Linked DNA regions of Cricetulus griseus. The protein of the gene in region 1 purifies or fractionates together with the protein of each later gene. This does not show direct contact. Links are inferred from orthologs where the notes say so. Each region holds a gene or a part of one and is shown in the gene's direction. Other genes may lie near its edges.

Region 1 (4,227 bases):
GCTGGGAATTGATCCTGGGACCTTTGGAAGAGCAGCCAGTGCTCCTAACCTCTGAGCCATCTCTCCAGCTTTATTTAAATGTTAAGATCTTATTTATTTATTTATTTATTTATTTATTTATGGTTTATCGAGATAGGGTTTCTCTGTGTAGCTTTGGAGACCAGGCTGACCTCGAACTCACAGAGATCCGCCTGCCTCTGTCTCGTGAGTGCTGGGATTAAAGGCGTGTGCCACCAACGCTCGGTTTAAGAGTTTATTTTTAAACCTGGGTAGCCGGGCATTGGTGAACAAGAGCTAGTTCTAGGACAGTCTCCAAAGCCACAGGGAAACCGTCTCGAAAAACAAAAACGCAAAAAAGCATACAAACAAAAAAAATGGGTATATGAGGGAGTAGGGGCTGGCAATGGTGAGTGCAGTGCCCAAATTACAAGCTGCTTGGCATGGTGCTGCGAACTCCCTCCACAGGAATACCAGGTTATAAACGCTGAGCCTTTTCTCCAGACCCTGTTTCTACTCCTTTTTATTAACCCGTTTTACTGGGAATCGCTACAAAGTAGCAAGTGTAAACAAGAAAAGCCAAAGCGCTTGCTTGGGAAAAGAGAAAAACCCCAAATCTTGTTTGTTTTTTCCTACATAGGTTGAATACTGAAAGCCTGAAATAATTCAGAACTCATTCTCTTTGGAGTGACCAAATACCTCCTAAACATTTCCCTTAGATGCCCCCATCAAAACCTACCGCTGGAACAATAGTGCCATTTTACTCTAGTATAGTAGCAAGTCTGGCCTTATTAGCAGGCCACGGTAAATGAATAATCTTTCGGACTGTCTAGTTAAGTCTGTTCAGTTAGTCCCTCGCTCCCAGCACCGCCTCCGCTCGGCCCCTTCCTGTTCTCCCAGCAGAGGAGGACTGGACCAGCCAGGCCGGTCACGCTTGCCTACCCGGGAATCCGAAGCTGCCCGCCCTAGGTGTACCAACAGTGACCCTGGTCCTCTAGCTCCACCCTGCTCCACCCTGTTCCACCCTGTTCCGCGGCCTCTAAACCCTCTTCTCCGCTTAGCTCCGCCCCGCCTCGCTTAGCCCGCCCCCCTCTGTTACGAGTTCTGGCTCCGAGCTCCCGTGAATGAGGTTTTTCCCGTAGAGACCACGCTTTCCCTCAAGCTCCCCAACGGCTCCGCCTTCCCGCCGGAGCCAGACCCTTCCCAGCGTGCCCGGCGATTCCGGCGTGCGCAGACCTGGGAGGGCAAGGCCCCAGGGCCTGGCGGCGGGGCGCGAGGAGCAGGCTGGGAATTGTAGTTCCTGAGCACACGAGGGCGGCTGGAGGCTGGACGCCGGCCGGACTCATTGTCCCAGCGTGCCCTGCGCTTCAGCCCGCGCGCTCGCAGCTTCTCGCTCTCTGCGCCCGCCCTCCCGCTCCCTTGCTTGCTCGCGCTTTCCTCGCGGATCGAAGAGACTCTAGCTACAGCTTGTGGCTGGAAGGGAGACGGAGGCCGCAGCTCAGGGAAAGTGAAGCTGCAGTAGTGGTGGTAGGAAGATGTCGGGCGAAGACGAGCAGCAGGAGCAAACTATCGCCGAGGACCTGGTCGTGACCAAGTATAAGATGGGGGGCGACATCGCCAACCGTGAGTGCGGCCTCGGGGGTCTTGGAATCGAGGCTGAGAGGGAGAGGTTTGGGGCTGTCTCCCGAGGGGCTGGAGCGGCTGGGTCTTGCGGAGTGAGCCACCGAGGGGCGCGTGCCGACGACCAGGGGCGACGTGGTGGGGAGATCTGGTGTCGCCCCGGGGACTGAGCAGCCATGCCTGGGCTGGAGAGAGTGGAGGTGCGGGCCGGCGACCGCGAGGAGCGCAGAGAGGGGCCCAGACATGCTCCGACCCTAGGCGGTTGGTAAGGAGGCAAGGCGCGTCGTCTTCTGCCCGTCACCCTTCGGTCTGTCGGGATCTCTGCTTCCACTGACTGGCAGCTGTGAGGCTACCTCGGAAAGGGTGCTGCTCCCAGCTGTTGGCGACATAAGCGCCCCTCTGGCAGTCGCGGGTCCTGACCCGTAGGAGCCAGGCCGGCACGTGTTGCCAGGTCCCTGTGCGGATCGCTGGCTCCCCACTTCCTCTACTACCGTGCTTCCCCACCACGTGCTTCAGAAAAGTCTCAACTTCAGGTCCCCCTGGTGGGGGCCCCCTTCTCCCCTGGCCTAGCCCGAGGGACCGTTGAGGGGCACGTCTGCAGCTTCTAACACAACTCTTAAAGACAATCGGTTTTCTACACTAGGTTGATGACTGCTGCCCCAGCCTGTGAAATGGCCTTGAATATTTGTTTTTAGAGGCTTGACAGTGTTCTGAGGTCCTGCTTAGAACACAGCTAGGCAAGCCTGTCAATAATGCTGGGACGGGACGGAGAGGAACACTGATTTTTTTAGGGTTATTATAAGTATTTCTTGCTCTTTCTCAACAGTTGTCTGCCACTTGGGCTCTTTCCAGTTGTCTCTTCGTGTCAGTCCCGTCCCGTCCCATGCACCCCCTCCCGGGGGTGGGGGGGAATTTCTGTCCTACTCTTGTAGACCAGGCTGGCCTCAGATCCGTCTATCTCTTCTTCCCAAGTGCTGGAATTAAAGGCCTGTGCCACCAGACCACACCCGGCTCTCTTTTCCATTTTTTAAAAGCCTCTTAATAGAGATAGAAACTATTAGGACTTTAAAATGGTCTTGACAAAATTGAAGAAGGTATTTAGGATGCCTTTAGTTAAAACCGAGTTGTTTTTTTTTTTTTTTTTTTTTTTTGTATTCCAAAGAATAACCAAAACACTATTAAGCCTTGAATCCCCATGGATCATAGAGAGGACGGATACAAAATAATATCCCTATCTGGGGTAGTTTTAGTATTTGATATTATTGGTTTAAATCAGACAAAATTTCTATCCGTACTATTTGAAGCTTTAGGCAATTTGACTTTAGATAATAATTTTGAAACTGATCACGTTTCCTTGAGATCTCAAAGTAAACCTTGAGTCTCCTGAATCTTTGAGACCTTAGATTAATTCCCCTGGTCTTATATGCTTGTATATGGGGAAATGCATCTACATAAATTGTGATTACTAACACCTAATTAGAGTGTCTAGGGAAGGGAAGAAGGTAGCATTTAACAATGCTTCAACTTTGACTCAGCAATTCTATGTGTACCTTCCCTTGTCCCTGACGCCTATAAATTTCTTCTGCTCTGCTTGTGCATATGGGGTGTCTTGAGCACAGTTCCCTAACGTTCATGATTCTGTATGCCATAACATCTTTGGTAGGTGCAAGACTCTCGTCTATCCAGGTGTCAAATAATTTACAGAAGAGAAGTAAGCGCTGGCCTTTTTTATTTTAGGAAAGGAAGGTAGAAAGGAAGACTGGGCGTGATAGTGCCTGGTGCCAGCACTTGTCGGGGAGACACAGGCAGGCCATCTCTTGAGTTCCTGTCCAGCCTGGTGTACATAGTTCTAGGAAAGCCAGGGGTGTGTCTCAAAAAAGCAAAATAAACAACAACAAAAAAAGGTAGACATTAAAGTGGATAGATTGTACCAGGACACAAAATTTGTTTCCTTTCCACTTCCTGCCTTAAGACAATGACACTAGGGAGTATTAGAAAATGAATTCAACTTCACATCTAATTAGATGATGAATGCAAGCAGGACTGACCTGATGGGATTCTGTCTCCAGGGGTACTCCGATCTTTGGTGGAAGCCTCCAGCTCAGGTGTATCAGTGCTGAGCCTGTGTGAGAAAGGCGATGCCATGATAATGGAAGAGACAGGGAAAATCTTCAAGAAGGAAAAGGAAATGAAGAAAGGTAAACGGGAAAGAATACTCTTCTTAATTTCTCCCATTTGACCGTATCCATCTAGCCCCGCCCCCCCCCCATTGTAAAGTCCACGCCATCTCTGATTAACATATTTGGAAATCTGGAGTAGCAAATGGGATGGGTGTAGTTTCCTCTCCTGATCTACACTGAGTAAGTTTAAGGAAGGCAGCGGGTGCTGCCAAGGCAGAGCCAGGCAGTAAGGTTGATGGTTCTTTTTACAGGTGTTGCCTTCCCTACCAGCATTTCCGTAAATAACTGTGTGTGTCACTTCTCCCCTTTGAAGAGTGACCAGGACTATATACTCAAGGAAGGTGACTTGGTAAAAATGTAAGGTTAAGCCATTCTGGAGTATTTGTCATTTTCCTACACATTTAAGCAGGGTCGGTTCCTAATGAAGTGT
Region 2 (4,250 bases), on another chromosome or scaffold:
GCCTCCTCTGCTTGGAAATACCCAGGGTCTTGGCTCACACCAATCATTTTTCCTGTCCCTCTACCCAGGAGTCTCTCTTGGGGTCCATCTCAAGGTGTGACCCTTGTCACTGTCTCTATAAAGACAAAGCCTCCACATCACTGCACTGGTTCCCACCTCATGCCCTGACCATAGAGCATTTTCGTGGAGCTGTGTCCTCCACCGCGTTGCGAAGGACTTAGTAACAAGCATCACGCATTAACTATTTCTACTTGTCTCCAAAGACCCGTGTTCAGATAGAAAACGTGGGACCCAACACATCCTGTTTGCACTAAAATCTTCCGAGATGGGCCAAGGCGTGGTGGCGCACGCATTAATCTCTACACGCGTGAGGCAGGCAGGTCGAGGCTAGCCTGGTCTACACAGTGAGCTCCAGGACAGCAAGAGCAAATAGTTAGGCCCTGTCTCAACATCCCCGACAAAATCTCCACAGGTGATCTATCAACCAATATCATCAGTTGGCGGAACCCTGACTATGCAGAAAATTAGGTTTTAGATGCCCAGGAGGTACCCTAGAAGGGCTCCAGTATGCCACGCCTGGAACCCAAAGTCCCACACACAGGTCTAATCCACTCACGGCAACTCTGTCCTTCAGGCCATTGAGGGAAACCGTGAGTGGCCACAGGCCGGCAAAAAACTCCTCCAGCACACACCAGGAAGTCACCTCTCCGAGACCGTCCCCATCAGGAGTTAAATCTACCGCGCGAGGTTGGACATTAAGCGAGCTGTTTGAGCACTGCACACAGGCGCGCACACACGCACGCAACTGCCTTTATTGGGAGCTGTCTCTCAGGAGAACAGCGGCCCGCGGCGCAACACTAGAGCCCCGGGATGTTCTCGGCTCTGCCGAGGGCAGGCCGAGGGCCGCGAGCTGGCCCCAGTGGGCTCTAGGCCCTCAACTTCCGGCGCTCTCCGGCTCCTCAGCGGGAACGCGCGGCGAGCACTTGAGGCCGCCGCGGAGTCCACGGTGGGGCGCAGCTTCCGCAGCGCGGGGGATGCTCGGGCCACCCACCACCCCCCACCCCCCCGGCCACGCGAGCCCGGAGCTCCAGGTAGCAGTCGAGCACTAGGAGGCGTCCGGGCCACGCCGCCATCCCCGAGCCCCTTCCACAAGCCGCGCCAAACGGGCGCGTTGCACCGCGCAGGCGCGGCGAAGGCGAGCCGCTAGGGCTCGCCGAGAAGACGCGCACACCAGCCAGTCAACGTCCGCCTTGCGTAGAGCTAGGCCCGCCCCCAGGGCGCTGCCGTCAGGCCCCGCCCCCGGCGGACCCGCCCCCACGCCGTAGCCCCGCCCCCACGCCGTCCTGGGTTGAAGGCTCGCGGTTGGCCAGGGGGACGGACGCGCGCTCTGGTTGGTGGAGGAGGGGTCACGAGGACGCCGTCGTCGCCTTTCCAGAGGCGATTACTGGGCAGGCTCAGTCTTTTGCCTCAGACGCTAGCTGTAGCTGGCAGTCGCTCGTACGTGCTCCAGAGTCCACCGTGCCCGTCGCTGCCGCCCAGCTCGCGTGGGTTCCCCGAGGCTCTCCCGAGCTGCGCCCTTCGCCGCACGCGCCGTCGTCGCAACCCGCCACCATGGTGAAACTCGCAAAGGTGAGAGGCCTCGCGCGCGCCGACGCGGACGGACGCCTGGGCCTGCTTTCTGAGGGGCGCGCGCGCGCGCGTCGCTCAGGGGAGGAGGGCCTGCGCGCAATCCCGGGCGCGTTCGAGGGCGCCATGCTGGGGAAAGTCTCGCGCGACTAGCGGGAGGTCTCGCGGTGTTTGGCCCCTGACTTGGTGGTGGGGGAGAGCCGAGGCGGGTCCCGGGAGGTGTGTGTGTGTGTGAGCGCGCGCGCGCGCGTGTGTGTGTGTGTGTGTAGGGCGGTGAGATCGGAGCCGCCGCGAGGGGAGAAGGGGCGACAGGCCCGCCGAGGGGAGATGGGACCCAACTCGTGGGCCGGCGCCGGCGTGGCCCCGCCTCCTGGCGCACGTGCTCCGGTGCGCGGCCCGCCACGTGGGTTTTGGCGCTCTGCGTGTGTTGCCCGTCTCGGGCTCGGGGAGTCGCGGGGTACCGGGGAGGGGGACAGCGGGACTGAGCTAGGTGGGTTCCCCGGCGATCCCCAGCGCCTGTCCGTGACGGGCAGGCCAGCACGTGGTGGACACCTGAGGGAGCGCGTGGTGGCCTGCGTGGTACCTCCACGTGGCCCGCCTCCAGAGTGGCGACGTCGGAAGTGGTTCTGTGAAAGACGTGCTCCTCTCCAGAAGGGGCTACCCAAATAGATACCCCTGCCCCGGCAGATGATTTAGAGTGAAATTCAAAGGGCAATGAATGACTAGTAGATTGTCTTCAGTTGTCTCTGGAAGGGAAAGACAAGTTATATAGGTGATTCTCAGGAAAGATTGCCACATATAATAATGCCAATGATGTCACCTGTGCTTAGGGCCTTTAACAATATAGACAGTGGGCATTAAGAAAGAAGATAATGGCGAAACGCAAAATGGCTTACAAATAGGGTATCGACATGATTTTGTGTGCACTTGTGTAGGCCGGCAAAACCCACGGCGATTCTAAGAAAATGGCTCCTCCTCCAAAAGAGGTGGAAGAAGATAGTGAAGACGAAGAAATGTCCGAAGATGAAGAAGATGACAGCAGTGGAGAAGAGGTATACAGCTAATAGGGCAGCGGTGCCCTCCCTTTAATTCCAGCAAGAGGGACGTAGAAGGCAGGCAGTTTTAGTGAGTTCAAAGCCAGCCTGGTCTACAGAGGGAGTTCGGGGACAGCCAAGGCTACACAAGAAACCCTGTCTCAAAAACCAAAAAGAAAAAAAAAGATGTAGAAATAGAATGTGTGTTAATAAAAGTATTCTAAAGCCGGGCGGTTGTGGTGCACGCCTTTGATTCCAGCATTCAGGAGGCAGAGGCAGGCGGATCTTTGTGAGTTCAAAGCCGCACATGGTCTACTTAATGAGTTCCAGGACAGCCTCCAAAGCTACAGAGAAACCCTGTCTCCAAAAACCAAAAAAAAAAATACAGTAGTATGATAACAATAGTTGAGTGACAAGTTCTTTATTGCTATTGAGTAGTTAAATAAGAGTATTACAGTCCACTTGAGAGGGATGTAAATTTCACTCAGGTTTCACATGCTGTATTGAATATTGATTGTAGGCTGTTATTTTTCCCTACATTTTTGGAAAACAGGGTTTAATCCAGTTTGATTTGTTTTCATTCAGATCATGGTCACGTGATTTCATGGTGTTTGGTGAGAAGGACATTACGACTAGAAATTCCCGGGTGTTTTTTTTTGTTTGTTTGTTTGTTTTTTGAATCAGGATCTCAACATGACCCTTGTGGTCTTAGAACTCAACATGTAGACCAGTCTGGCCAAAAATTCTCCTGAATAAAGGCATTAGTCATTGCATGAAGCTAGTTAAGAAACTTAGGGCTTTGATTTAGATGAGAATTGGAGTCAGGGTCTCAATAGTTCAGGAATCACTATATTTATTTTACTCCTATTCCCGTCATGCATGTTTTGTTTTTTAGTGCTGATCCCTATCACTAAAGTAAGCTTTAGCCTATTATATAAGCTTTTATAGAGCAAGTCAGTTTTTAAAATACATCAGATATGGATTGAAGGCTGCTACTTACCAGTTTGCTGAATCTGGTACTTATTAGCACTCCTACTTGTTGGTTCATTTAAAGACATGGTTAATTAATTTCAGGAGGCAGAAGTAGGGATAGTCTTGGAAATCAGGTAAGCTGGGGGTATGTAATCATTATGCTCAGATTTCTTGTTTAGAAGAGCTATATTAGTAATAAGCAAAATTTGGGTTTTGGTGGAACATTTTTCAATGAAAATAAAATGCATACTTGTTATAACTCTGCTTAAGGCTGATGTGTAGGGGTGGAGTTGGAGACCAGTTTCATTTATGAGTGTTTCTTAAACTTGGGTATTTGTGTGATAAGCACCTGCAGTTGTAAGCCATGTATTCTGATTCCAGGGTTTAGGATTTAGTGTGTTGGAGTTAGGGTTAGAGTGTTTATCTGTATTTGTATGAGTGTACTACTAAGCATGCCTGGTGCACTTAGGCTAGAAGAAAACTCTTAGGTTCCCTGGAACTATAGTTAGAGCCATCATGTGGATGCTGAGAACTGACCGTTGGTCCTCTGCTAGAGTAACAAGGGCTCTTAACTGCTGAACCGTCTCTCTAGCCCTTTCACCCCAGGGTTTAACATAT
Region 3 (3,587 bases), on another chromosome or scaffold:
GTAACATTTGTTAGATACTTAATTAGGCCTTTTTGTTTTTCCAGGCAGGGCTTAAAGAGCCCTGGCCACTCTGGAACTCAACTTAGTCTGGCCTCAACTCAGATTCACCTGCCTCTGCCTTCAAGTGCCTTGATTAAAGGTGTGCACCACTACCATCTAAATACTTTTTGATCCATTCAAATACTGGTGCTGTTTGTTTGACTTGTCTATTAAATATTGTGATAGAACGGCTGAAGGTAGCTTCTTTCAAATTGAGCAAATAATTAAGTTGGTTTATTTCCTTTATAGTGATGATGATGATGATTTTGATGATGAAGAAACTGAAGAAAAAGTTCCAGTGAAGAAAGTGAGTATATAACATGCCATGGGTGTCAAGATAGTTAATAAGAGATAAGAATTTCTTAGTGTTGATAGTGAAAACTGGCTCATTTAATTTCCTATTAAAATTGGTTTTGAACTAAATAGACTAAACTTTGTAGGTAAGAAATTTTATGTTTATTACAATGGTTTAGGACACTTGTCTACTCTGGAGGGGGTATACTCTTAATTGCATTCTCTTAATTGCAGTCTGTACGAGATACCCCAGCCAAAAATGCACAAAAATCAAACCAAAATGGAAAAGACTTAAAACCATCAACACCAAGATCAAAAGTAAGTACCAAGGTAACAAAACAGATAAACAGACCTAGTTAAGAAAAGTGAATTCTGTGTTAACCTAGCCTGGGGCTGGAGAGATGGCTCAGAGGTTAAGAGCACTGGCTGCTCTACCAGAGGTCCTGAGTTCAATTCCCAGCAACCACATGGTGGTTCACAACCATCTGTTATGAGTTCTGGTGCCCTCTTCTGGTGTGCAGATATACATGGAAGAAGTATGTTGTATACATAATAAAATTTAAAAAAAAAAACCTAGCCTGCCTAAACTTTGGTATTTAAAGAACTTAACCCTGGCTACATAATACATTGTAGTGCAGTACTTTCATCTGAAGAGTGTCATGTTCTGGGGTGGGCTCTAGTATGAGTTCTTGCTTCGTTTGGAGACCTATTGAATTCTGAGTTTTGTTTATAATTTCATAATGGGATTTTTTATGGCTTGTGTGCTTACAAAGGCCAATTAATCTTTGTAGAATTCAGGACAACACAGTTGGAAGATGCCTGTCAGGGTTCCCCCATCCCAAGCATTGATGAAGAAGCTGAAAAGTGTTCCAGGGCAGCCAGGGCTATTAAAAAAAGATGTTTATGGGGCTGGAGAGATGGCTCAGTGGTTAAGAGCACTGCTTGTTCTTCCAAAGGTCCTGAGTTCAATTCCCAGCAACCACATGATGGCTCACAACCATCTGTAATGACATCTGGTGCCCTCCTCTGGCCTGCAAGCAATATGCAGGCAGAACACTGTACATGTAATAAATAAATATTTTTTAAAAAAAGATGCTTATCAGGTTTGGCATCAGGTGCGTTTACGTTAACCTTGAGGTATCTTTCCTGACAATCATTGTTTTAAAAGAATGATCATTTTGGTTGTCTGAGAGTCAGCTAGCTGAGACTGGCTTTCTGACTAGCTACAATCCTCCCTCAGCCTTTGAAAGGCTGAGATTAAAGGCTAGGAACAATCTTAAAATCAGAAAAATGTATAAAGTTACATGTAAAGCAGTGTCTCCATACTTTATCTAGAAGAGATTGTAAAAATAATTGGGAAGTCATAATTATAATTATGAACTGTACTCTAATTGCCTTAATTAACTTATTCCAGGGTCAAGAGTCCTTCAAAAAACAGGAAAAAACTCCTAAAACCCCAAAAGGACCTAGTTCTGTAGAAGACATTAAGGCAAAAATGCAAGCAAGTATAGAAAAAGTGAGTAAAATTACCAATAATGGATTGCTCTTTTCCCTACTATGTATGGAGGGTGGGTAAAAAATAGATTATAGAAATAGGTATATTCATAATCTTGTGCATAGATGGATGATTTTGCTACAATAAAGTGCAAGGATGTATTCTGATTTTAAAGCTTAACATAAGTGAATATTGCCTTTTCTGGGGTTATGCTATAGAACCAGCAGAGGGCGTTTGGACTTTAGTAAAATTAAACTGCTAGAAAAGAAGTCTTTGGCTGCATGAGATTATACCTTTAAAGGATCATTTTTTTTAAGCATTTCCCAGCAATTGAATTATTTCTGTGCCCTCTATACCAAAGTATCCCCAGTCCATGACCTGGAATTTATATACGGACCTGGGGTGTGGAAAATGGAATAGTCAATCCAGTGGTTTTTTTTCCCTTGAAGATTCTCTAAATTGTGATTCTAACATTTGGAACAAATGTGGAATTATAGGAAAAATTGTTCTTTTCAAGTTTTTTCCTGTCCTATAGGCCTCAAATGGTTTCAGGTTTTCTTCCTTTGTGAAGCCACCAATGGATTGGAAATTAGCACTGTAGTGCCAGCACATATTTACACTGTAAACTTTTTAGCTTTCCTGGTGTTGTCACTCACTGATTTATTTTTATCCCTTGCATACACTGCTAAAATGGTGCCCCTCCCCCCCATTTTAATGTGGTCCTATCTCCTTGATTTAATTGCAGGCGCATTGAACAGTCCTGGGCACTACTGGTAAATTAAGCCCAAAGATGGGGAAAGAGGAAAAGGAGAAACAAATATAGCCCATACTGAGTACCATCAACAATCCAGACTGAAGTCTTCTATTTTAATCTCAATCCCCTTTCCTGATTGGCCATCCATTCCCCCCCCCCTTGCACGTTGGAAGCAATCTTTTGTTTTCCTAAAGCATTTTTCTTTTCACTCTTGTGATGCAGAGAACTTTACTGCTTTCTACACTTGTGCATATGCCTCATCTCTGACCATGTTTTTAATACCTTTGTATCCTTAGTTGCTCAATAAATTTTTGAATGAACCAAATAAGGATGTATGTGACAATATTTTAAAATTACTATAGTGACTTATTTTCTAGGTGATGGAGGCAATTGAGTCTCATATTTGGAAGCCTTATTCTTGCTAAATGCATAAAACAGGGTGCAAAACTAAAATTTTAAGTGGTATTACATGAGGGATGATAATTTGTAGTGATAATCTAATTTTTATGCTGATTTAAATTAAGGTAGCTAGGCAATAACTAGTTACCTTATGAATTTGATGACAAATTATTAGGTATTACTGATTGTGAATCATTGCCTACATTCATAATTGGAACAAAATGTCCAATTTGTGCTGTTAGTAAGGGGTTACTATTAACTTCAGTTGGTTTCTAGGTAAATGGTATGGTACCTTAGGTTCTTGGAAAACACTAAGTTTATTATAAGCAGGTATTGAATTTAGTTTTGGGTGATAGAGGGTACTAAAACTATTTGCAGGATATGGGTACTAAAACTATTTGCAGGATATGGGTAGGCACCCCAGTTGGCTGTATTTGCATGCCTGTAGAATTACCTGTAGTTTAAGTTTGCTGTTTTGGGGAGTTGGACATTTAGCAACTGAAAGACTGGTCATAATGTGCTGCCTATTAGGTCTTTCTGGGCTCCAGTGATGACATTGGTATTTTAAAGTAGAGAAGTTGAAGGGACAAGGAATAAATTGTTCAT

What was found.
Region 2: the proteins of Pa2g4 (region 1) and Ncl purify together in Homo sapiens (affinity purification with mass spectrometry; 3 studies listed by BioGRID and IntAct, with this or other methods). This does not show direct contact. The link is inferred for Cricetulus griseus from reciprocal best matches to the Homo sapiens genes PA2G4 and NCL.
Region 3: the proteins of Pa2g4 (region 1) and nucleophosmin purify together in Homo sapiens (affinity purification with mass spectrometry; 4 studies listed by BioGRID and IntAct, with this or other methods). This does not show direct contact. The link is inferred for Cricetulus griseus from reciprocal best matches to the Homo sapiens genes PA2G4 and NPM1.

The regions. Positions count from the first base shown.
Region 1 is NW_023276806.1:129,340,079-129,344,305, forward strand, and holds the start of Pa2g4 (proliferation-associated protein 2G4), read left to right. Parts: upstream 1-1,380; 5' UTR 1,381-1,532; coding exon 1,533-1,620; intron 1,621-3,686; coding exon 3,687-3,815; intron 3,816-4,048; coding exon 4,049-4,154; intron 4,155-4,227. UniProt on the Homo sapiens protein: May play a role in a ERBB3-regulated signal transduction pathway. Seems be involved in growth regulation. Acts a corepressor of the androgen receptor (AR) and is regulated by the ERBB3 ligand neuregulin-1/heregulin (HRG).
Region 2 is NC_048595.1:438,027,409-438,031,658, reverse strand, and holds the start of Ncl (nucleolin), read left to right. Parts: upstream 1-1,449; 5' UTR 1,450-1,611; coding exon 1,612-1,629; intron 1,630-2,561; coding exon 2,562-2,678; intron 2,679-4,250. UniProt on the Homo sapiens protein: Nucleolin is the major nucleolar protein of growing eukaryotic cells. It is found associated with intranucleolar chromatin and pre-ribosomal particles. It induces chromatin decondensation by binding to histone H1.
Region 3 is NC_048600.1:48,339,235-48,342,821, reverse strand, and holds part of nucleophosmin, read left to right. Parts: intron 1-288; coding exon 289-346; intron 347-567; coding exon 568-651; intron 652-1,747; coding exon 1,748-1,849; intron 1,850-3,587. UniProt on the Homo sapiens protein: Involved in diverse cellular processes such as ribosome biogenesis, centrosome duplication, protein chaperoning, histone assembly, cell proliferation, and regulation of tumor suppressors p53/TP53 and ARF.